5 linked regions of the Mus musculus genome follow. The protein of the gene in region 4 interacts with the protein of the main gene of each other region in a pairwise test. Links are inferred from orthologs where the notes say so. Each region holds a gene or a part of one and is shown on either strand. Other genes may lie near its edges.

The links.
Region 1: the proteins of Ube2e3 (region 4) and Trim39 interact in binary tests that used the Homo sapiens proteins (3 or more experiments, as listed by UniProt). The link is inferred for Mus musculus from reciprocal best matches to the Homo sapiens genes UBE2E3 and TRIM39.
Region 2: the proteins of Ube2e3 (region 4) and Cnot4 interact in a two-hybrid assay, tested with the Homo sapiens proteins (3 studies listed by BioGRID and IntAct). The link is inferred for Mus musculus from reciprocal best matches to the Homo sapiens genes UBE2E3 and CNOT4.
Region 3: the proteins of Ube2e3 (region 4) and Rnf167 interact in a two-hybrid assay, tested with the Homo sapiens proteins (2 studies listed by BioGRID and IntAct). The link is inferred for Mus musculus from reciprocal best matches to the Homo sapiens genes UBE2E3 and RNF167.
Region 5: the proteins of Ube2e3 (region 4) and Mul1 interact in a two-hybrid assay, tested with the Homo sapiens proteins (2 studies listed by BioGRID and IntAct). The link is inferred for Mus musculus from reciprocal best matches to the Homo sapiens genes UBE2E3 and MUL1.

What each region holds. Positions count from the first base shown.
Region 1 is NC_000083.6:36,268,634-36,272,758, forward strand, and holds the start of Trim39 (E3 ubiquitin-protein ligase TRIM39), read right to left. Parts: upstream 2,801-4,125; 5' UTR 2,704-2,800; intron 2,145-2,703; exon of another isoform or gene 434-2,144; 5' UTR 429-433; coding exon 1-428.
Region 2 is NC_000072.6:35,021,555-35,025,738, forward strand, and holds the end of Cnot4 (CCR4-NOT transcription complex subunit 4), read right to left. Parts: exon of another isoform or gene 2,787-4,184; coding exon 2,574-2,786; intron 1,879-2,573; coding exon 1,577-1,878; 3' UTR 511-1,576; downstream 1-510. UniProt on the Homo sapiens protein: Has E3 ubiquitin ligase activity, promoting ubiquitination and degradation of target proteins. Involved in activation of the JAK/STAT pathway. Catalyzes ubiquitination of methylated RBM15.
Region 3 is NC_000077.6:70,645,990-70,650,044, reverse strand, and holds the start of Rnf167 (E3 ubiquitin-protein ligase RNF167 isoform 1 precursor), read right to left. Parts: upstream 2,811-4,055; 5' UTR 2,177-2,810; coding exon 2,093-2,176; intron 2,031-2,092; exon of another isoform or gene 2,017-2,030; coding exon 1,936-2,016; intron 1,638-1,935; exon of another isoform or gene 1,453-1,637; intron 825-1,452; coding exon 699-824; intron 601-698; coding exon 513-600; intron 371-512; coding exon 280-370; intron 134-279; coding exon 28-133; intron 1-27. Other genes in the region: Slc25a11 (mitochondrial 2-oxoglutarate/malate carrier protein), read left to right, coding at 3,183-3,277, 3,817-3,969, 4,055-4,055.
Region 4 is NC_000068.7:78,917,536-78,921,046, reverse strand, and holds the end of Ube2e3 (ubiquitin-conjugating enzyme E2 E3), read right to left. Parts: intron 2,361-3,511; coding exon 2,213-2,360; intron 1,090-2,212; coding exon 992-1,089; 3' UTR 464-991; downstream 1-463. UniProt on the Homo sapiens protein: Accepts ubiquitin from the E1 complex and catalyzes its covalent attachment to other proteins. In vitro catalyzes 'Lys-11'- and 'Lys-48'-, as well as 'Lys-63'-linked polyubiquitination.
Region 5 is NC_000070.6:138,433,178-138,437,476, reverse strand, and holds the start of Mul1 (mitochondrial ubiquitin ligase activator of NFKB 1), read right to left. Parts: upstream 2,806-4,299; 5' UTR 2,718-2,805; coding exon 2,598-2,717; intron 1,298-2,597; exon of another isoform or gene 1,183-1,297; coding exon of another isoform or gene 1,078-1,182; intron 1-1,077. UniProt on the Homo sapiens protein: Exhibits weak E3 ubiquitin-protein ligase activity. E3 ubiquitin ligases accept ubiquitin from an E2 ubiquitin-conjugating enzyme in the form of a thioester and then directly transfer the ubiquitin to targeted substrates.

The sequences.
Region 1 (4,125 bases), on a different chromosome or scaffold from region 4:
ATCGGCACGACGGTGTGGGGCCGGTGGGTATGAGAAATTGCACATATCAGACAGACAGCCTCCTGGTCTTCATAGCAGAAAAGGCTAAGAGGTTCGTGGTGCTGGGAGCAGAGGCTTTCATCTCTGATCTTCCGCTTGACCGTCTGGAGCTGCTTGGCGATTTCCACCATACTGCCTAGCTGTCGGTTAGGCCGGAGACTCCGGTATCGGGATGTCTTCCGACAGACAGGGCAAGGGAAGTCCCGCTCTAGGTCTTCCCACCAGCGGGTAATGCACGCTTTGCAGAAGTTGTGCCCACATTCAATAATAACTGGCTCCTTCAGATACTCTAGGCATACAGAACAGCTTGCTTCCACCTGCAGGTTCTCCAGAGCAGCGGCTGTGGAGGCTGCAGAGGTTCCAGCCTCTAACAGACTTGTCTCTGCCATTATAACTTGGAGGCAGGGAGAGAGGAAAGAAGTGTTAGTTGGAGGGTTATTTTGTTTCCTGACATTAGCTCCCAGTAAGCCATAGGTCTAGATGAAGCCCCATCTTGGTATTCTCCCATTTCCACCTTTTCATCTGTTGGTCTATTTACAGTGTGTGTGACCTCTCCCCATCACTGTTATTATTATTTTATTATTATTTTGAGTCAGCAAATATCAGCAGTGCCCAGAATTTCTTTACCTCTGCTTTTTCAATACCAGCAATGAAAAGGAGCCTGATATGGCGACTGAAACCCATTTCCCTAGCCATTTTTGAGGTCAAGGTAGGGGGACTGTCATTAGCTGAAGGCCAACGTAGGCTACACAATGAGTTCTAGGTTAGCTTGAATTACACAGATCTTATTTCTACAGGGAGGGAACCATGGGAAATGAGATATGTCACATAAGCCAAAGTATTAAGATTTTAGCTGGGCATGGTGGCTCACTGTGAGGCAGGAGGATCAATACAAGAATAAGGCTAGCCTGGGCTGTAGAGTAAGATTTGTAAAACAAATAATATATCTACATATCTATTAAAACTGACTATCAGCCCTAGAACTCATTACTACTTTAAAGAACTTCATATATAATTACTGCATCGATTTCAAAGAACCCCAAGCTACTTCTTCTAACGTCATAGGAAGTTTATTGTTTTAGAGTCTAGCCTTGATTGTCTGCTGTTCCTCTTAATGAGTTACACTACAGTAACACACTGTTTCAGGGAAAGCATGACATGGTTCTTCCTTTCCCCAAACTAGCCCAAAGGAAGAACGCTCTCTTCTTGAAGATGCTCCTGTCACTCACCGCATTTCTATTTGTGTGCAGCTGGGATGGCTGCAAAGCAACAAATACATATCAGCTCTAAGGAAGCACCATTGAGTGCATTGAGGGCAGCAGCTTCTTGGAGAGAGAGCTGGCAAGTACATTCTAAACATTCAGTGGTGACTGCAGTCTTTCAACGTCACTACTGATAACTAACTCCTTAGATAGTCAGTGATTAGGAAGGAAATTAGCCAGGTATGGTTAATACTAGGTAGGTAGCGCATGTACCGAGGAGGCAAAGGCAGGAGCCTCAGGAACTCGAGGCCAGCCTAAATTAAATATAACCAATAAATAGTTATTGGTCTCAATAAATGAATAAGTGTATGGAAAGAGACAACCAAAGCTCTCCATTCTTAAGATGTCAATACATAAGTAAGCTAATTTATCTGGTCCCATAACCCCCTACTTTCCTTCTGTCCCAAAAGGGGCCCCCCAAAAAGGAAGGAAATTTGATAGGTCTACCCATCGACAGAAAAGTGCCCATGTAATGAATTGGGGCAACAATGATTATTTCTGTATACTGGTGGTACAAATGGAAGGATTTTAAGTAGGAGTTGGTAACTTATCCTCTTTTAATGGAGAAAAGAATTGATCCAGATAAGTACAGTTGGATGATTTCTTTCTTCTCTGCCCATTAGAATCCAGTTTTGACTAGTGACTTAGCCTCCTCCTCCTCAATCCTACAGATAAGTGGCATCCTCACCTAAAACTGAACCATATTCACACTTGAGAGACCTGCATGTATCTAATTAGCAAATAGATGGTATGAGAGAGAAACGGGCTCAAGGATAGTGAAGAACGGAGAGGATTTGGAGCTGGGGGTGGTGTGGTGGTGGTGTAGAGGGCAGCCATAATATGGCCTTGTGCTCCTCTGGCTTGATCCTTCCTCCCACTCTCCATTACTCGATCTCAGTGTAAGTAATCGCGTCAGAGACGTCCACGTTTTGCCTTTAATCACTATTGGGTACCACCTCAGGAGCCTCTTTCAAGCACTGGCCACAACTCTGTCCCACCCGTTCTCCATCTTCTCCAGCCATATCGGGAGCATGAGGACCAGAGTGAGGGAGCATACGTCGTGCTTGGCAGGGAGGAACGGATGCGTGTCTAAGTGAGGGAGAGGTGTGACGTGAAGGTGGGATGCCCGCTGCCATGTCGCAGCCCAGACCCGCGATGACTGCGTCAGTTTCACCCGGGGAGACCAAAGGCAGCGGGACAGGGGAACGGCGGGGTAGCCAAGCAACGCCGGACGCGCTGACGTCGCCGGGGCGGCAAACGTCCTCCGGGCCCGAGGCGGGCGGAGGCAGCTGTGGTTGCGCGCCGGCCGGCTGACGTACTCGCCGGGCGTAGGGCCGCGGCGAGAGGAGCCCGCTCGCTGGAGCCGGCTGCGGGACCCTTGTGGCGGCGGCGCAGCACCTACCTTCCCGGCTCCGGGTCCCGGAGTGCCGGGCGCGGAGCCGCCGGAGCACTGCCTCCCTCCTTCCTCCTCCCCTCACCCCCGCCCCGCGGCGCGACACACAATACTCGCCGGAAGCGGAAGCCGCGCTGCGGCGATGGAAGACAGCTGCGCGGCGCCGAGCCGCCGTGCCAGGGCCTAGTCGGGCCCGCGGCGGGTGGCGGGCGGAGAGCCGGAGGCGAGGGCCTGCGCGGCTAGTTTACCGGGCGAGAGGGAACCCGCCGCTTCCCGTGGCTGAGGTGCTGGCGCCCAGGTGACCAGAGCGGTCCCCCGGAGACTGAGGGCCGCGCATGCGCGTGGCGAGACGCCGAACCCCATGGCGGGCAGCGCGCCGTGGCTGGGCTGGCAGAGCTGCGCGGTCAGCGAGCCCGCAGAGGCTCAAGCTGGTCCTCGGTGGGGCTGGGAACCGCAGAGGCCTGGGCGGCTACGGGTTGTGGGCGTTGGGCCACACTTTCCCGGTCTCCGGGTCAATTCTGGGGGAGGGTTGCTGTTTAAGGCGGCGGTGTATTACGTGGCCGACCTGAGAGTCTATGCTGGCACGTCACTTCCGACTGGCTGAGGTTTGGCAATTTAACCGGCAAGCTGTAGTAGGTGAGTTATCTTGGCTGCAGACCGAGGTGCGTCTTTTCCCCTCCTCCGGTTGGGTGATGTATTAGCCAGGGGTTCTCTAGAGCTACAGAACCTAGTGAATGTTTCTCTCTCTATAATTAATCGTGATGACTTACAGGCTAACCCAACAATGGGCAGCTGTGGATGGGAAGTCCAAGAATCTAGTAGTTGCGCAGTCCCACGTGGCTAGTTCTTTCAGCTGGTCTTCTGTAGAAGTAGGTTCCGACAGATGTGCTGGCAAGTAAGTGCAAGCCCGTGAAGAAGAGAATCTTCCTTCTTCCTATGTCCTTATGTAGACTTCCAGCAGAAGGCGTGGCCCAGATTAAGGTGTGCACCACCTTGTTTGGATTTGGGACTTGCTTTCTCCCGGGCTGACTTTGAACTCAGAGAACTCCTTGCCCCAGTCTGGGATTGAAGTCGTGTACTGCCTTGCCTGGTCCTAAACTTAATGGCCACTGTACCTCAAGATCTCCATGTCAAGATCCAGGTCAGAAACTTGTGTCTTCCAGCCTCAAGATCTGGATCACAGGTGAGCCCTCCAATTCTGGGTTGTAATTCCTTCCAGATAGTCAAGTTGACCACCAGGAGTAGCCACCACAGCTGACATTAGCGAAACGCTTTCCCTGGCTGGAGCTGGAGTGTAGAAAACCGGTCTAGTTCGGTGCTTTGCTGCCCCTGCATCTAGGATGCCAGGAGGACCAAATCCTGTGCTCAGGAAACACTGGGTGGGAACCAAAGCCTGCTTCTTTCTCTTTGAAGACCTTGCTTAAGTTTCTC
Region 2 (4,184 bases), on a different chromosome or scaffold from region 4:
GGATACTGCTTACAAGACTGCCAACTGAACGCAGTCTTCTAGCGAGAGCCTCCACTACTTTAGTCAGGTCCCCCTACTCTGGCTGGCCGAGACAGGTGTCTGGACTGTCCGCCCCAGGGCTGCTGGGTCTCTTTCCTGCAGCTCAGAGGGTGATGCTACTGGGCTGCTGCTGCCGCTGCCACCGCTCCGACAACTCTTCCTGGAGACCCATCTCAGCATGTCAGGCTCCTACTCACTCCTGATGAGTGGCTTCAGTTGTCAAGGTCTGCTCTGCATCTCTAAGAGAGAGTTCTTAGCCACTGGGAGAGGAGTGTTGAGAGCAAGAGGGGCTGAGCCTTAAAACTAGCAGTGGCTGACAAAGACAAATCTTTTATGTTCTGATTTCCTCAGAACCACGCTCCACAGCTGAAGATGTAAAATCTAATGGAAACTCATATGGTACTGCATCATTAAATATTCCAAACCCACACGAAACAAACTGAAAAAACAAGAACAAGACTCACCCGAGGGTCACCATCAAGTTTTCTGTTTTATTTAAGATTTTAGTTTTAATTCTGAAGAGAGAGGTACATTTCCTTGTTTTTAGTTTTAGCATCAGGTTATAACCAGGTTTGTTTTCTTTTCTCCTGTCTTTTCAATACTGCACAAACGTCCAGAAACTACAGGGTTAAGTAAAAGCTGCAGGCAAAGAGGTCAGAGATTTGCTTCTGTTGGTGATCTGATGGCCCCAGAGCAGTGCTGGCTCAGAGTGCCCTGTCAGGTGGACTTATGGTCAAAGAAAAAAAAAAGATTCTGACAGAGGAGAAAGACTGAGGAAATCACATAGAATTCAGCTCTTATAAGGATAGGTATTGAATCTGTGAATATCTTTTTCCTTTAAAACATCTGAATTTAAGTCTAAAGCCAAAATTTTTTCTCCTTAAAAAATTACTTTTCCTTCCTTATAAACTCTTTAGCAGTAGGCCAGTTACGACTACAGATCAATTTATCTTCTCATCAACTTCCAATAAATCCCTTTGCTTAACAACACAATTGAGTCCTCCCTATCAATTCAATAAAGAATTTAAAATGAAAAGCATTTTTCCTGCAATAGTGAAAAGTTGAATACAAGATGGAAGCCAGGACCACTGCTTTCCCCCATGAACTTAGCAATCTCATTTAAGTCGGCCGTGCTCTCAGTTCTGCAGTTGACAATGCATTTACTTGACCTTTCCTATAGATTAATTGTCATTTTCTGCTAAGCAGATTATGTCATTATGAGCGACAGACAAACAGTAATTTTCTAAGTATTGAGACTGCCTTTTGATTTTCTTTTTCCTCTGCTTAAAAAGGCAATTCCTGCCCCCCAGAAACATTCAACAGTGTCACTCACTCAAATGCTGGATCAACCGAAACTTTTTACAATGAAAGAAAAGATGGTAAAGACGCTGTGATCGCATCGTATCTGGGGGTAGGGAGAAAAAAACCCGACCAGGAGCTGGATTCTTCAGAACGTTAAGAGATGAGAAGGGAGCTGTGAGTGGGCTGAGGGGGAACAGGGTGGGACAAATCCTGCCCTTTTCAATTCCCTCTTTGCTTAGTGGCGGTCCAGTGTGGAACTCTGTAGCAGATCTGTGGGGGTTTTGCTGGGGGGTCTGAAGGCTGTCTGGAAGCCTGGGGGTGGAGAGTGGAAGCTGGAGGGATTTGAAGGAGGTGGGTAGGGGTTCCAACTGGCTCTGTGCAGAGGGATCTGTGTGCTGAAGGGGGCGCTGTGATGGGGTTGTGACGAGGCAGCGCTGGGGCCGTCCATCTCTGTGAGGGCCTGTAGGGATTTTAGCCAGTGTGGAGGATTGTCGTCTTGAATAGAGTCTAAAGTGTTTCCTGAAGATGCTGGAATACCTACAGAGGAAACAGGAGACAAAAAGAAAATGGTGAGTCTGTCAGGAAAGAGGGCCAAGTTACTCAGGTAAACTTTAAAAGAGTGATCTGGCCACCCAAGAAATAAATTACAATTGTCAATTTCCAAATGAAACCTTTTCAGCCTTATGATCCTTTAGCCACCCTCCCTCCCCCTTCTCCAGCAATGACCAAGACTTACTGTGACACAAACCCTCATAAAACTTGGTCCCTCACTTTCAGAGGCGGAACAGCAAAAAACAAAACCAAAAATCCCCACCAAACAAGCAACCTCCCCGCCAGAGATTCCCCAGGCCTCCCAAAAGTAAATGGTGTGTTTCCCCATTCCCCCGCCCGCCTCTAGCAGGGATCTGGACACAGACAGCCTTATATAGAGAGCTTTATAAAGAGTGGAGTATGTTTCTCTTAAGATGGCTCAGTTAGATCCTTTAGTACTTTGAGGCCTACAAAATACACACGTGCTGCCAGACGGTAACACCTACTTAGAGCAAAAGGAGTGACCAAGGCACAAGCGCCTCGGAACACAACTAGGCAGACAGGTTCACCACGACCCTAAGAACAAACCAGGCTTTGTGAAAAGGAAGCAGAGACCCCTGCTCTGACTTAGTCTGACGCCTGTGGGTGGAGCTGAGGGGCGGGGGCGGGGCCGGGGCGGGGCGGGGCGGGGAGGAAGTTACCTGTGATGATGGCTGGGTCTGTCCAGCTGCCAGGGCTGTCCCAACTCACGCTGTCCGTGGTGGCAGTGTTGGACGTTGGTGCACTGTGGTTGGCGTTGGAGGGGGAAGAAGAATTGGGCAGTCCACCAAAGTTGATGTTAATGTTGGGTAGAAGTGCCCTTAGCCCGTCCTGCCATTCCTTCATATTTAAACTCTCTACAGAACTGTTGTTGTCTGGGAGATTTACCAACAAAAAATGAAAGATAAAAAAAAAATAAAAAGCTGACGTTAGAAACATATGTTGTTCTTTAGTGGCTAAGCGGGAGAGGAATTTCTTTCTTTACTGAGCGTTTGTGGGTTATCCTACCGAGACAAACTGGGTTAGGTCTGTGCTTGTGAGCTCGGGACCTAAGTGAGGGGCAGGGAAGCTCTCTCAGGCCGACGGGACAGGACAGGAGGGGCCTGCTGCTCCCTTTCTAGACTGATCTCTACATGTGGTGCAAATCAATAATCCAGCTGCAAGACTCAGTGCTCTAGAGACAAGCCAGCACCCGCTAAAGGATAAACTGTCAGTCAGAGAGGCATTTAAGCCAGCTCGGCCATTAAAAACATCCTGTGAAGTTCTATCTAGAAGCTCATTTCTGAGTTTATTAAATGGGAGAAAGTCATTTAATGAAGAATAAACATGATCTAATATTAAAAGAAAATGAAGTTCTCCTGATTATAAAATTGGTAATGCATTTCAGGGAAGCAAGCAGATAATGCAGGCTTCTGAATTTAGAAAGGATATTTCCCCTGAAGAACAGCAAACAGGGGCTGAGCTGGGGAGTCTTATAGTTTCCAGAGTCTATTTATGCATAGTGTCAAATAGAAGAGACTAGCAATGTAAAAATGGATTTTTATAAACTTCTGTTTAAACTTTTTAGAACTCATATATATTTGATATTTGGGGTTGGGAAGGTAAAGTCTAACAACTTCTTAGAATAATTATTTTATTGAGAATGACTCAAATAACCAACTGCAGTCTTTGAAAAGCAACAATATCTCTTTCTACAGAACTGCAGGCAGCACGGAGGGAGGGGACAGCAGAGACTGTGACTAGGCAGGCAGGCCATGCACTTTGGTTAAGTCAGAATTCTTTTCAAATTTTGTTTGCCCCATCACTGACCTATGCCAGATTCTACTAGGTCTCAGCAAATGAAGCATCACATGGTACTAACCTTCTTCATAAAAGACAAACACAACTGAAGTCAAGTGAGCTCGTCTCTGAACTTGACAGAAACGGAGAAAAGGTACTGTACACTAGGCGGACACCACAATGGGGGTGGGGATTCCTCGACCTGAACTAGCCTCCTTCACAGGCTGCTATTATTTACCAAGCCTTGTCCTTCTCACACCTGCATATTATTTGCGTTTGCATTGTGTTGTACAATTTACAAGGTACCGCACAGTTATTGATTTCATTTGATCCTCACAACAACCCTGTGAGGTAGGCAGGACTTAGACAAAGGACGCACAGGGACCGCCGTGCACACCTAAATCCTAGCTAATACTCTACAGCTGAGTAGGCATGAGAACCAGGGCAAGCTGGTAAGACAGCCCCAAAAGAGAAAAAAGCTGCCCATGTCTATG
Region 3 (4,055 bases), on a different chromosome or scaffold from region 4:
CATCGTAAGTTCTCCTCAGCTACTTACCAATACTGTTCCCATGGCCAAAACCAGTAATCCTACAATCCCAGTGAAAGGAATGAGGTAATAGCCCAAGGGGAAGCTGTTGTCTGGAACCAGAAGCACCCGAGCCCTGAGGAGAGAGAGACACAACCTCAAGCCAGGTAAAATAGGGTTACTGGCTTGGGACAAGGCATAATGAGGAGAAAGTCAAGGCAGCCGAGGAAGAGCCTGAGCCTGAGTGGATTGAGAAGAACTGGAAGAAAGCATGCGTCCTACCCCTTCTCGTAGACAAAAAGGGCTCGTAGGTACTCTGCGCTTCTCTCTCCAATAAATACAGATGGGATCCAGATCTGCTGTTGGATTTCCTCTGTAAGGAGCAGGATATTAGGGATTTAGCCTTCTGTTCCTCAATTCCCTGAAACTGGCTTTTGGCACTTTTTGCAGATCTCAACCAATTGCCCTCCCACTCAACTCCACGGTGCACCCAGTAGTGCAGGCTTCTTCCTTACCGCTGTTCCACACCATGTTCAGCAGTTCATTGGAATTCACATTGTGCACCACAGCTGCACCATACCCAGCCTTCTGAGCATTTAGGACCTAAGGAGGCCAAGCGGGAGGGATAGAGCTGTAACCCTTGCCCTTCATTCCTGGTGTCATGTACCCTGCTTACCACCTCCCATTCCCCATTCAGCAACCTTGAGGTCAAAGTTGCAGTCGAATCTTCGAAGCAGTGCAATAAAGACTGACCCATTGACCGGGGCTGAGGGTGGTGGGGCAATAGGACCGCAGGCATTTTCTGGGTGGGCCTCCACAAGGAACCCCTGAGGGATAAAGGCAAACATTTTCATCTTTAGTTCTGTCTTCCACAGGACCTACCACACATAACACTATATACTACCTGCATTCTGCAGCTCTATCATTGCTCATTCTGGAGGTCTGAGCATCCCACCCAACACTGAATCTACAACTCAGACATGGTGATACATGCATTTAATCCCAGCACTTGAGACTACTGTGAGTTGGGGACAGCCAGAGTTCCAGAGTCCAGTCTCAAAAAAAAGAAAAAAGAAAAGGGATCTCTCAGCTTTCTTGAAGATGCAGTTACAGTAAACTACATCCCTTACCAGAGGCTCCCTTAACTTCTCAAGCGTAGTTTAGTTCTGCTTTTAAGTTTCCCACCGATAGTGGTTCACCTTGCTACTCATTCATGGCATTTTCAACAAGTTTCATTTTCCAATTAGCCATCTTACAACTCTACTGCTAACTGTGGCCGAATGAATTCTTGCTATGTGGCATGAACTTTGTAGTGAACTACTACAGACATGCTTATCACACTGGCACGATAGCCCTAGGTTAATTTCTATTTCTCATTTGACTCAGAACCCATAAAAAGCTGTCCATGGCCATCTATACAAACAGTAAGTTGCTCCAGAGACTGCTGATAAGCACCTGCTTTTTATCTTAGCCCACTCTCAGACTCCCTCTTAAACTTGGGAGTTCTAGGGGTTGTAGATGGTTCAGTGCTTAAGCGCACTGGCTGTTCTTCCAGAGAACCGGAGTTCAGTTCCTAGCATCCATGTAGCAGCTCACAACTGACTGTAACTCCAGTTCCAGGGGATCTGACACTCTCACACCTATGCATATAAAATAAAAAATGTTAAGTTCTAGAGGTGGGCACTATCTATTATCTCTGGATTCTGGACTCTGCGCGCTGGACATGATCATGCACTTAGGTTTTTCTGGATTGGGGACACTTTTTTTTTTTTGCTGGAGATTCAACCTAGAATCTCACTCATACTAGAAAAAGCACCCTATCATTGAACTATCCGCAGTCCACTGCATTCCGCTGCTAACTCCACTACTTCCTACCTCCTGAGCACGGCCACTTCGCCCCTACCCAGGATCCATATAGGGAAATGGGGAAAACATCACCTGCAGTCCCTCGTCGCTCAGAGTGGCCCCAAACAGAGCTGGAAGGTCTGCAAAGTCCATGCTGGCATTGTGCTCCGAAGTCTGCAGACGGAACACTACGTGTTTCAGTCTGAACCCCATTCTCAGCACCCTGTCCCCGTCCGACCCTCAGACTCACCGCTCGAATCAGCCCTCGGACAGGGGCTGCTCCCCACAGTACAGTAGCCACGACAACAGGAAGCGGGAAGGCCGCAGGGTGCATGGCAGCGGGAGGGGTAAAGCTGCGAAGGTCGCGTTCTGATCGCAGGAGCAGAAGCCGAGTCCTGCGCCCTCCTCTGCCTCTCCTTCAGGATCCCAGGGGTCCAACCACCCCTAGGTCCCACTTCTCAGCTACATGGGGGCGTCGGGGAAGGAACTCCGATTCAGGGAGTGAGCTATCAAACCAGCTTAGCGGAGCTGGTAGGGGAGACAATGTATCTTTCTCTAGTACAGAAATAGGACAGAATAGGAGCGAAGGCAAACAGGTAACAACAACAACAAAAAAACTTCCGGAAGGGTAGGAGAAACCTCAAAGAGGTGGGACTTCCGGCCAGGTAGACTGTCTTCCTATGCCCCTGGAAAAGGGTTTCCGGTAAGAAAGGCCAATTCCAGTATTGGACGCTCAGGACGGAGGACTTCCGGTCCCGAGAGGCCGGTTGAAAGAAATGTTTGACATGTAGAAGGAGCCTGCGGAGATGGAGGGAGCTTCGATGCTCAGGAGACGATCTAGTTTTTTTCCCTCAGTCCCTGAGATCCTGGAGCTGCCCTGTTTACAAACCTCTCCTTCGTCTGGCCGCCACGGTACGTTCAAAGTATCGCGAGAGTGCTTGCCACCACCCTCCCTCCACCCCCCCACCCCCTTTCGCCGCTGAAATATATCGCGAGAGGCCTCATAGCCCGAACTCGGCTGATTCACTTGCTCTCGCGAGGTTTTCAAACAAGCTTTTTTTTTTTTTTTTTCCCCGCGATTCCAATTCCGGAGGGGCGGGAATTTAGGGTAGCTTCCTAAATCGGCCACGCCCCTTCATCGTGCATCTTAGCCCCGCCTTATTCCCCGGCTGCCTTTGCGCTCCGAGCCTGCGCCCGCCCCAGCTTCCAGCTGGAGCCAGATTTGCCTGTCGGAGGGGCGTGCGCGCGCGCGCCCTCACCCTGTTGCGCGCTGGTGTCACCTTGGGCGCGAGCGGGGCTGTACGTGCACGGGACCCAAAGCCGAGGGCCATCAAGGGGCGATGGCGGCGACGGCGAGTCCTGGGGCTGGCCGGATGGACGGGAAACCCCGTACCTCCCCTAAGTCTGTCAAGTTCCTGTTTGGGGGCCTGGCTGGGTAAGCTCAGGCCCCAGTGATGGGGGAAAAGGAGGAAGGGACGGGAGCAAGCACCTGGGCCCAGTGTAACTTGGGGTGTGTTGCAGTAAATTGAGCCGGTGCAGGGTCCCTGATGGGTTGCCAGGATCTATTCATCCTTTGCAGGGACCCAACTGTGCTGCATTCAAGGATCTTTACCCTGTGTTTCCACCACCTTTGCTTCGTTGTGCCTGTTTGGGTGGTGGGTATAGGTCATTAAAGGCTTTGTTATAGGACTGCTTGGAGTCTTAGGATGGGGACGCCCTCTCCACCTTTCTTTAGATCGCCTGTAGTCCTAATTCTGCTTGAACCCTAAAGAACTGCCTGAGGCTTTTTGATTTGCATGCCCCTTACTGGGCAACTGGACTCTTTTGCTGGCACGTTGCCCTTGATGCACACACTTAACACACATGCCCACCAGCCTCCTGAATCCTTAGTGGCCCTGACCTTTGTAACTTCTTGCCAGGTTGCAGTAGAGCTGGAACCACTGACCTCTGATTCCCTTTCCTGCCTCACTTCAGGATGGGTGCTACAGTCTTTGTGCAGCCCCTGGACCTGGTGAAGAACCGGATGCAGTTGAGTGGTGAAGGGGCCAAGACTCGAGAGTACAAAACCAGTTTCCATGCCCTCACCAGCATCCTGAAGACAGAAGGCCTGAAGGGCATTTACACTGGGTACTGTGGCCTCAAGTTGGGGAGGGAAGTTGTTGGTTGGCAGGTCCAGACCTTGGCCTGATGTGCTGACATTTCTACTCTTCAGG
Region 4 (3,511 bases):
GGCTATGTATCACAGTAGCAATAATGCACCATAAAAATTCAAGATCAGGAATAAAGGGAAAAGCACCATAGAAAAGCAATCACAGCATAGCAATTATCTGACAATATTGCCCAGCGTTGAACAGAAATCACCAATTTGGAGACAAAATGTTCTGTTAAGACACGGAGAGAGTCCTAAATAACGCAGGACTTCATTTTCAATTCAAATGCTACACTGTCAATGTAGAATTTGTGTGTTATTGTTTTTTAAGACCAATGGTTAAAATCCAGCTTCATATTTAAGCCCACTGTATTCTCTCCTTAAAGGAAAAAACTCTACACACAGGATTTTTAAATGTTTTCAATTTAATAATTCATTTGTACTAGTCCTTAATAATCAATCTTCATAGCCACGTCTTTATTTCATCAACAATCATCTCAGACACACCTTCTGACAAGACTTTCAACATTATGACAAGAAACTATGCCTTCAGGAGCATGTTTATTGTGTTTGAGATGATACATCAGTGCTCTCTGAGCTACAAAGGGTAGAAGGAAATCCTCTCATTACAAACTGACAAAGGTAAAACATTTCACAACAGCATGAACCACATACTCAGAAATAGATCTGGGCTTAATACAAATGACATAATTCCTAGTCATCTACAGCTACTTTTATAACTTCATACAGATAATGAATTAGGCTAAAATGCACTATAATATTTGGTAGACTTCAGGACCAGTATCCTTAGTACATCACAAAATACATTTTGATATCCCAAAGAAGCAAGACTTGCAAGTAGGCATTTTAAACATAACTAATCTACAGCTACAAAGTTCTACTCTTGGTAGCTTTTACCTTTTGGGGGAGTCTCCCAGTCTCCAAAGGATAAAGACAAGAGTAGAATCAGTATAACATATACACAGAAGTCCGTATTGTAAAGGCTATAAAGATCCGCAGCACAGTGGGAAGAGGCCTTCTGCTCCTTCACACTGCATACAAATGATGTGAATTATGTTGCGTATCTCTTGGTCCACTGTCTGGCTATCCTGTCATGTTCTGCTCTGTTGGTCAAATACTGAGTGGCTATGCTTCCGACCAGAGGATCCGCTGGAAAAGTGAAAAGGACATTAAAACATGTATGTTTTAAACATATAGTTCTAACAAGGCATTATATAAAAACAGCTACAGTTTGGCAGCATTTTAATTCAGAATGTTTTTACTTTTTCATAAAAAATAGTCAAGAAACAGCTATACAGTTTAATATTTGGAAAAGATATGTGTTTTAACAAATATTTTAGACTTAACTTTCTGTTTTTTGAGAATCCTACACGACTATATTTACATTACGTTTACTTCTAGCTCTATCCAAAGCCAGGACTCCTTTCTTTAATGTGCCTTCCTTCTTTTCTCCCTCTCTCTTCAGTCTATGTCTTTAGGGCTGACCGTTTAGGAATAAAGATGTAACCTATCAGGGGCTCATCACTAGAAATGACATCTTCTTGCTCCCCTAGCAGCTGGGGTAGGGACTTCTGAAATTGCTGATGACATTGTGTGGGTCTTGCTTAGGTGCCCCAAGATATTCTGTTGAGATGTCAAGGATGCAAGTTCCCTGTCATGTTATTCTTGACACTTTATTCAACTATGAAAGTCTGAGGCTGCATTTCTTGTTAAGCATCGTTACCTAAGCTTCACATAAAGCCTCCATCTTACAATGTTATTCAGAATGAAACGATCCCTGACAGTCATGAAGTAACATCTATAATTGTAAACATAAGCAGTCTAAAAACTTACCTGTCATCTTATTTTAAATAGAATTTTGAAGTAAAAGTTGAATCTGAGGTTAAAACTTTTATAAGCAAAGCATGCACACATGCTTTGTGTATAGAAAGTACACCAAACAAAGCCAATACAGACACAATAAAACGCTTCCCTTCTGGATGCCCGAGACTCAGAACTCAATCCTTGGCATACAACTTTTTTTCCAGATATTCTATATATGTCTTGCACCTACAATTTAACATTACTACGGTGTGTATATATCTCTCAAGGTCCCTGTATTACGACATACTATTAAAGACCGTCTCCCTGTGAGTTCAGAGTTGTCTCATTAACACCTAGTCTCTTACTAGATACTCTATTTCTGATGCAGCTCTTCCTAATAGTAACATTTATGTCTTGACCAACATTAAAAAAACACATTTTACTTGTAGATTCATAAAGATTTGCTTACCAGGGTTGCAATCTGTCAAAAGGGAACAAATAGAGAGCAAAACCTTTGAAATAGTCAAAGCAGGACTCCAGTTGTCTTTCAGAATATCCAGGCAGATGACTCCCTGACTGTTGATGTTGCAGTGATAGATTCTGGTACGGAAAGTAACCTATACACAATCACAGCAAACAGGAAGCAAACACGGCTTATTCCCAATTCATCTCAACAGTAACACATTACAGACGATGCTGACCGTAAATAATTAACCAGTACTGTTCTTACATTGGATGTAATAACAGTTAAGTAGTTTTATTCAAAACTATTTTAAAAGTTACGTAGTTGTTTTTTAGTTAAAAGTATTGATTTTTGGCTTTATTTTGACTTAACATAGAAAGAACTATTATTTGGCTCATTTGTTTTTGTTGTTTCTTTTTGACACAAGGTGTCAAAAAAAAAAAAAAAAAAAAAAAAAAAAAAAAAAAGAGGTGTGTAAGTCTGGTGACATGAACCTGCTGTGCACATTGCACTGGTTTCAAACTTACAGCAATCCTCCTGCCTCTGTTTCTTGAGTACTGGGACTATCAGCATGCACTACATACAATACCAGGAATTACCCTGGTTTAAGAACAAAGTGAACAGGTGAACAACTGATCAATTAAATCTACATGAATGGCATTATATAAGCGTGTATATGTATAGTCATATATCATATATCTTTGTGGACACACATGAACATGGAAAATGGAGAAAAGTTTTGACATCAAAGTACGAAGATAAATGATTCTTGAAAGGTTAGGTCAGCTTCTAGTGAAAGTGGTGAGTATCACCAGCTCAGCCAAACGTCTTCCTATGTCAGAATAAAGTGAAGGACTGGGAGGAAGGCTGCGGCCATCATCTGTGTTACTGTCCTTTCTTAGTCACTCTCCTATAGACACTGACATAAAAAAAGCAAGGTTTTCAGTTACTGCACCAAAGAAACTGACATCTCTTTTTCAGGAATAAATACTTGTATGTTTCTAAGCAAATACAAAAAGCAGTTGAGAGAGTAAACTCATCACTTGGACTTGTAGAAAAAAGAACTTTCTATTTTATAATTAGCAGTGTACTGTGAGCTTCAAAGGAGCATCAGGGGACAGGAAGAATACCCAAAAGTGCTTTTTCAGGGGGTGGGGGCACAAAAAAAAAAAAAGGCAGAGTGGAGGAACAATAAACATACTACCTAATGATGGCTTAATAGGGGCTATAGATGATATCATGATACTCTGTGAATACAGAGATCTGAATTCTAACTAGGCATCTAACTTTGAATACCATGTTTCA
Region 5 (4,299 bases), on a different chromosome or scaffold from region 4:
ATGGTTAGGCCAGGGGCACTGGGCTCCCCTTCCCCAAGGCTGGAGGTGTCACCATCTGCTTTCCAGTTCAACACAAAACTCCTGTCACATAAGTACTTTTACATGCGTATCTAAAAGGTGCTAGCTGCTTGGCACACTGTAGAAGGAACCTCAGCAGAGACCGGGCTAGCTCAAGCAGCAGCATATCCCTGACGATTCTGAACAACTTCACTCATCTGAGTCTGCTTCCAAACTGTAAAGGGAGGGAGAAGACGATCTCATGGAATTTTCTGAGTGGGATAAATGAACTCTGAGGTATGGGAAAACACAGTCCAGAGCGGACACATGGAAGTTGTGATGGTTTGTCTATGCTTGGGCCAGGGAGTGGCACTATTAGAAGTGGCCTTGTTGGAGTAGGTGTGTCACTAAGGGTGTGGGTTTAATTTAATGCCCTAGTCCTAGCTGCCTGGAAGCCAGCATTCTTCTAGCAGCCTTCAGATGAAGATGGAGAACTCTCAGCTCCTCCTGCACCATGCCTGCCTGGATGCAGCCATGTTCCTGCCTTGATGATAATGGGTTGAACCTCTGAACCTGTAAGCCAGCCCCAGTTAAATGCTGTCTTTTATAAGAGTTGCCTTGGTCATGGTGTCTGTTCCCAGCAGTAAAACCCTACGACAGAAGCCATGCAATAATCAAACATTCGTGTCACCAGGAAAAACACGGGAGTAAGTACAAACTCAGCTCTGTAAGCTGTGACCTGACCAACAGGTGCAAGCGGACACTAGGGCTCCCACAGCTTTTTCCAGGAAGGGTTATTTCATCCTTTTAGGGACTAAGTCTCAAGTACCACAGGCTGGCCTAGGACGTATCGTTCATCTGCAGGTGTCCTTCACTTGTTTTGTTGTTGTTTGTTCTGGGTTTTTTGTTTGTCTTTTTGTGCTTGGTTTTCTGGGTTGTTTGTTTGTTTGGTTGGTTGGTTGGTGTCCCTTGAACTCAGAGACCCACCTGCCTCTGCCTCGTTACACTGGGAACTTCTGATCCAATCCTTTTCACTGCAGAACTCCACGGTTTTGTTTCTGAGCCCTTACTGAAACCAACCTGGTGATAAGACTTGGGCTCCAAAGTCCATCTTCCATACAACTGCCAGAACAAGTCTTTGGCTGATGGACTGTGAAATTCCAGCCAGCATAACACCACCACCATGCGCTGGGCAGCTACTGCTCGTCACACGCTGAGGTAAGAACCGAGAGATGAAGATGATCCCCCCGCCCTTTCAAGGTTCGTCAGCTTGACAGGTGCCACAGAGCAAGGCGGTCAACTAAGAAAGGAGGACAAAAAGTGTCGTGTTGCTGGAGTTCCAGGCAGAGCTGTGCCACGGTACCCATAAGAGCCAGCCTCAGCCACCAGTCCTCAACAAGCCAACTACAAAAGCTAAATTAACAGCGACAAGCCAGTGAGGGCGAAGACCCCTGGGGGCTCCGCTCCACCCCAGCTTTATCTCTGGGTCCTAACACAAAAGCAAGGGCCTTTCACATCTTTACCTTATTACTTTTTATTATATGGGTGGTTTTGCCTGCATGCATGTCTGTGTATCACATACATGCCTGGTACCCAATAGAGGCCAAAAGATCACCTGGGACTGGAGACAAAAATAAAACAGAGACGGAAATGTGCCGTCTGAGCTGTTAAGTGCAACCCTCAAATGAGAATGTAGTTTTAAAGTAACTATAATATACAAAGAAATGACTGTAGAAACCTGGAGCGGAGCGGTTAAATAGATGAGCCTTTAAGTTCTCTGTTCTCCAAATGAGCCTCTAAGTTTGCTGTTCTTCACGTTGGAATCACCCCTGCCTTACATATCTTCACATCCTCCATCTCCGACCCAAGTATCACCTTGTTTAAAATGGCGACGCCCCCCTGTCAATGGCCATAATCTAGAATCACTTGGAAAGAGTGTCTCAACAAGGAACTGTCTATATTGAGTCAGCCTGTGTAGGCATAGCTGTTTAGACACTGTCCTGATAGCTCTAACTGAAGGGGGGAAACTCGCTGTTGTGTTGTGACTGACACCATTCTCTAGGTCTGGGCTCTGGACTGTTTAATAGTTGTTTCTCTCGACTCAGACGTGATTTGCAGCTGACTCAAGTTCCTGGCCTGGACTTCCCCGCGATGATGAATGGTAACCTGAAACTACAAACGAAATAACCCTTCTCCCTCTCCTAAGCTGCTTTCTGTCAGATATTTTACTATAGCAAAAGGAACGGAACTCTCCGTTTCCCTATCTTTCCGCTTTTCTCTGCCCTACTCCAACCCGATTCTCGCCCTATCACACGATCCAATTACGTGTAGGCGTGTGGTTGACCTAGAATGCACTGTGCACCAGGACAATGGCCTGTTTTTCTCACTACCTGGTGCCCAGCAGGTTTTCGAGAAACAGTTTTACAGCACTGCAATAACGTCCAGTGACACTGAGGGTCACTGGGGGGGGGCAGCCTCGCTGCAGCAGGTGCCCGGGATCCCCTCTGGCTGCGCGTCGTCTGGGGCCCTGTGGCTCCCCGGTGCGCCCCGGCGCGAGCTGCCAGTGAGACCGGGCTGCCCACCCCACCCCCCGCACTGACCTTGAGTTCCTGCGCGACCTGGGCCTTCTGCCGGTATATGGAGTACAGTACGGCGGTGACCATCGAACTGGTGCCCAGCAGGATGACCTGGCCGAGCGACGGTCGCGAACCGCTCTCCATGGCGACCCCAAGCCGCACCAGCCGCCTCGAAATCACCTGCGACCCCTACGCAGCCGCGCAGCCCTTCCCGGAACCCGTCGCCCGTCGATGACGTAAAAACCGGAAGTGGAGGACGGGGGTGGAGCAAAGACGTTGCCTAGGTGGTTGCGACGTTACTGCGGCCTCCTGGGAAACCGGTGGGGCTGGCTGTGGTCACGTGGGAGCTCTCCCTCCGGGTTTCTAGACGTTCTTGCTCCGTTATTGTTAAATGACATCTAATTTATCCTATGAGAGCGTGCCTTGGTGCACCTATAGAGGGCAGGACTCGATCTGAGCGTCCCGGTTTCTCCTACTTTATGGGTCCTTGGGATGGAACTCAAGTTCTTAGCCATGGTGGCAAAGCACCTTTACTCACTGGTCTGTTTCTCCAGCCCTTGCTGGATTATTTGATGTCGCCGCCGTCAGATGGGGAGCTGAGTAAAACGCGTGTTCAGCACCAAGAAGTGTTAGGCTTTAAGCTATCGGAGAACCTTGAAACCTGGCTTTTAAAGATGAAGAAACTAGCCCGGCGTGGTGACGCACACCTTTAATCCCAGCACTTGGGAGGCAGAGGCAGGCGGATTTCTGAGTTCGAGGCCAGCCTGGTCTACAAAGTAAGTTCCAGGACAATACAGAGAAACCCTGTCTCGAAAAACCAAAAAAGAAGAAGAAGGAGGAAGAGGAAGAAGAAGAAGAGAAGAAAGAAGAAGAAAAAAGAAACTGGGGCCAGAGGGGATGGAGAACATGGTCGGAGCCATACTGCAAAGGAGAGCTGGAGAAAAATTAGTCCAGCTTCAAAGCCCTCAACCACTACACCAGTTGAATTGATTCTACACCAGTTGAATCGCGAAAATAGCTCTTAATCTACTGCCACGCCACCCCCAAAACAGCATACTGCTTATTTAATAATAACAGCAAATATTTTTATTGAGTGACTATTATATGCCTTGTACTGTAGTTCGTATTTCTTAGGCCTGGCCTGTGTTTCACTCCACTATCTAGGGACCAAACCCAGGGTTTCAAGTGTTCTTCCACTTAGCTCCGTCCCAGTCACTCCAGACCAGCATTTGATGCATTCAACCACTGCCACAGTAGAGTTTCAGGAGAGGAAACTGAGGCTTCGGTTAAGAAATACACACAGTCCAGCACTCAGGAAGCAGAGGAAGGCAGACCTCTGAGTTCAAGGCCAGCCTGGTCTACAGAACGAGTTCTAGTACAGTTGGGACTACACAGAGAAGCCTTGTCTCAAAAAAACAAGTGGTGGGGAGAATATAAATACACTCAGACCTTTAACTAAAAATGATAATGGGCTTCAACCCAGGTGACCTTTGGAGAACTCGTCCAACTCCTCTCAGACATCAGAGTCGCCGCAAGTCTTAGCCAGCACATCTGCCTGCAAAGCCTGGGTTCTCCTTGCAGTGTCCTATAGGTTATCCTTTAAATTCCTCAAAATAGACCTAATGATATTCATTGGAGTGCTTTTTAAATAACAAAAGAATAAAAATGATCTAATTCCAATAGTCAGTTGGTTGAATAAAATTTGAAACGTTTGTTGAGGCAGGAA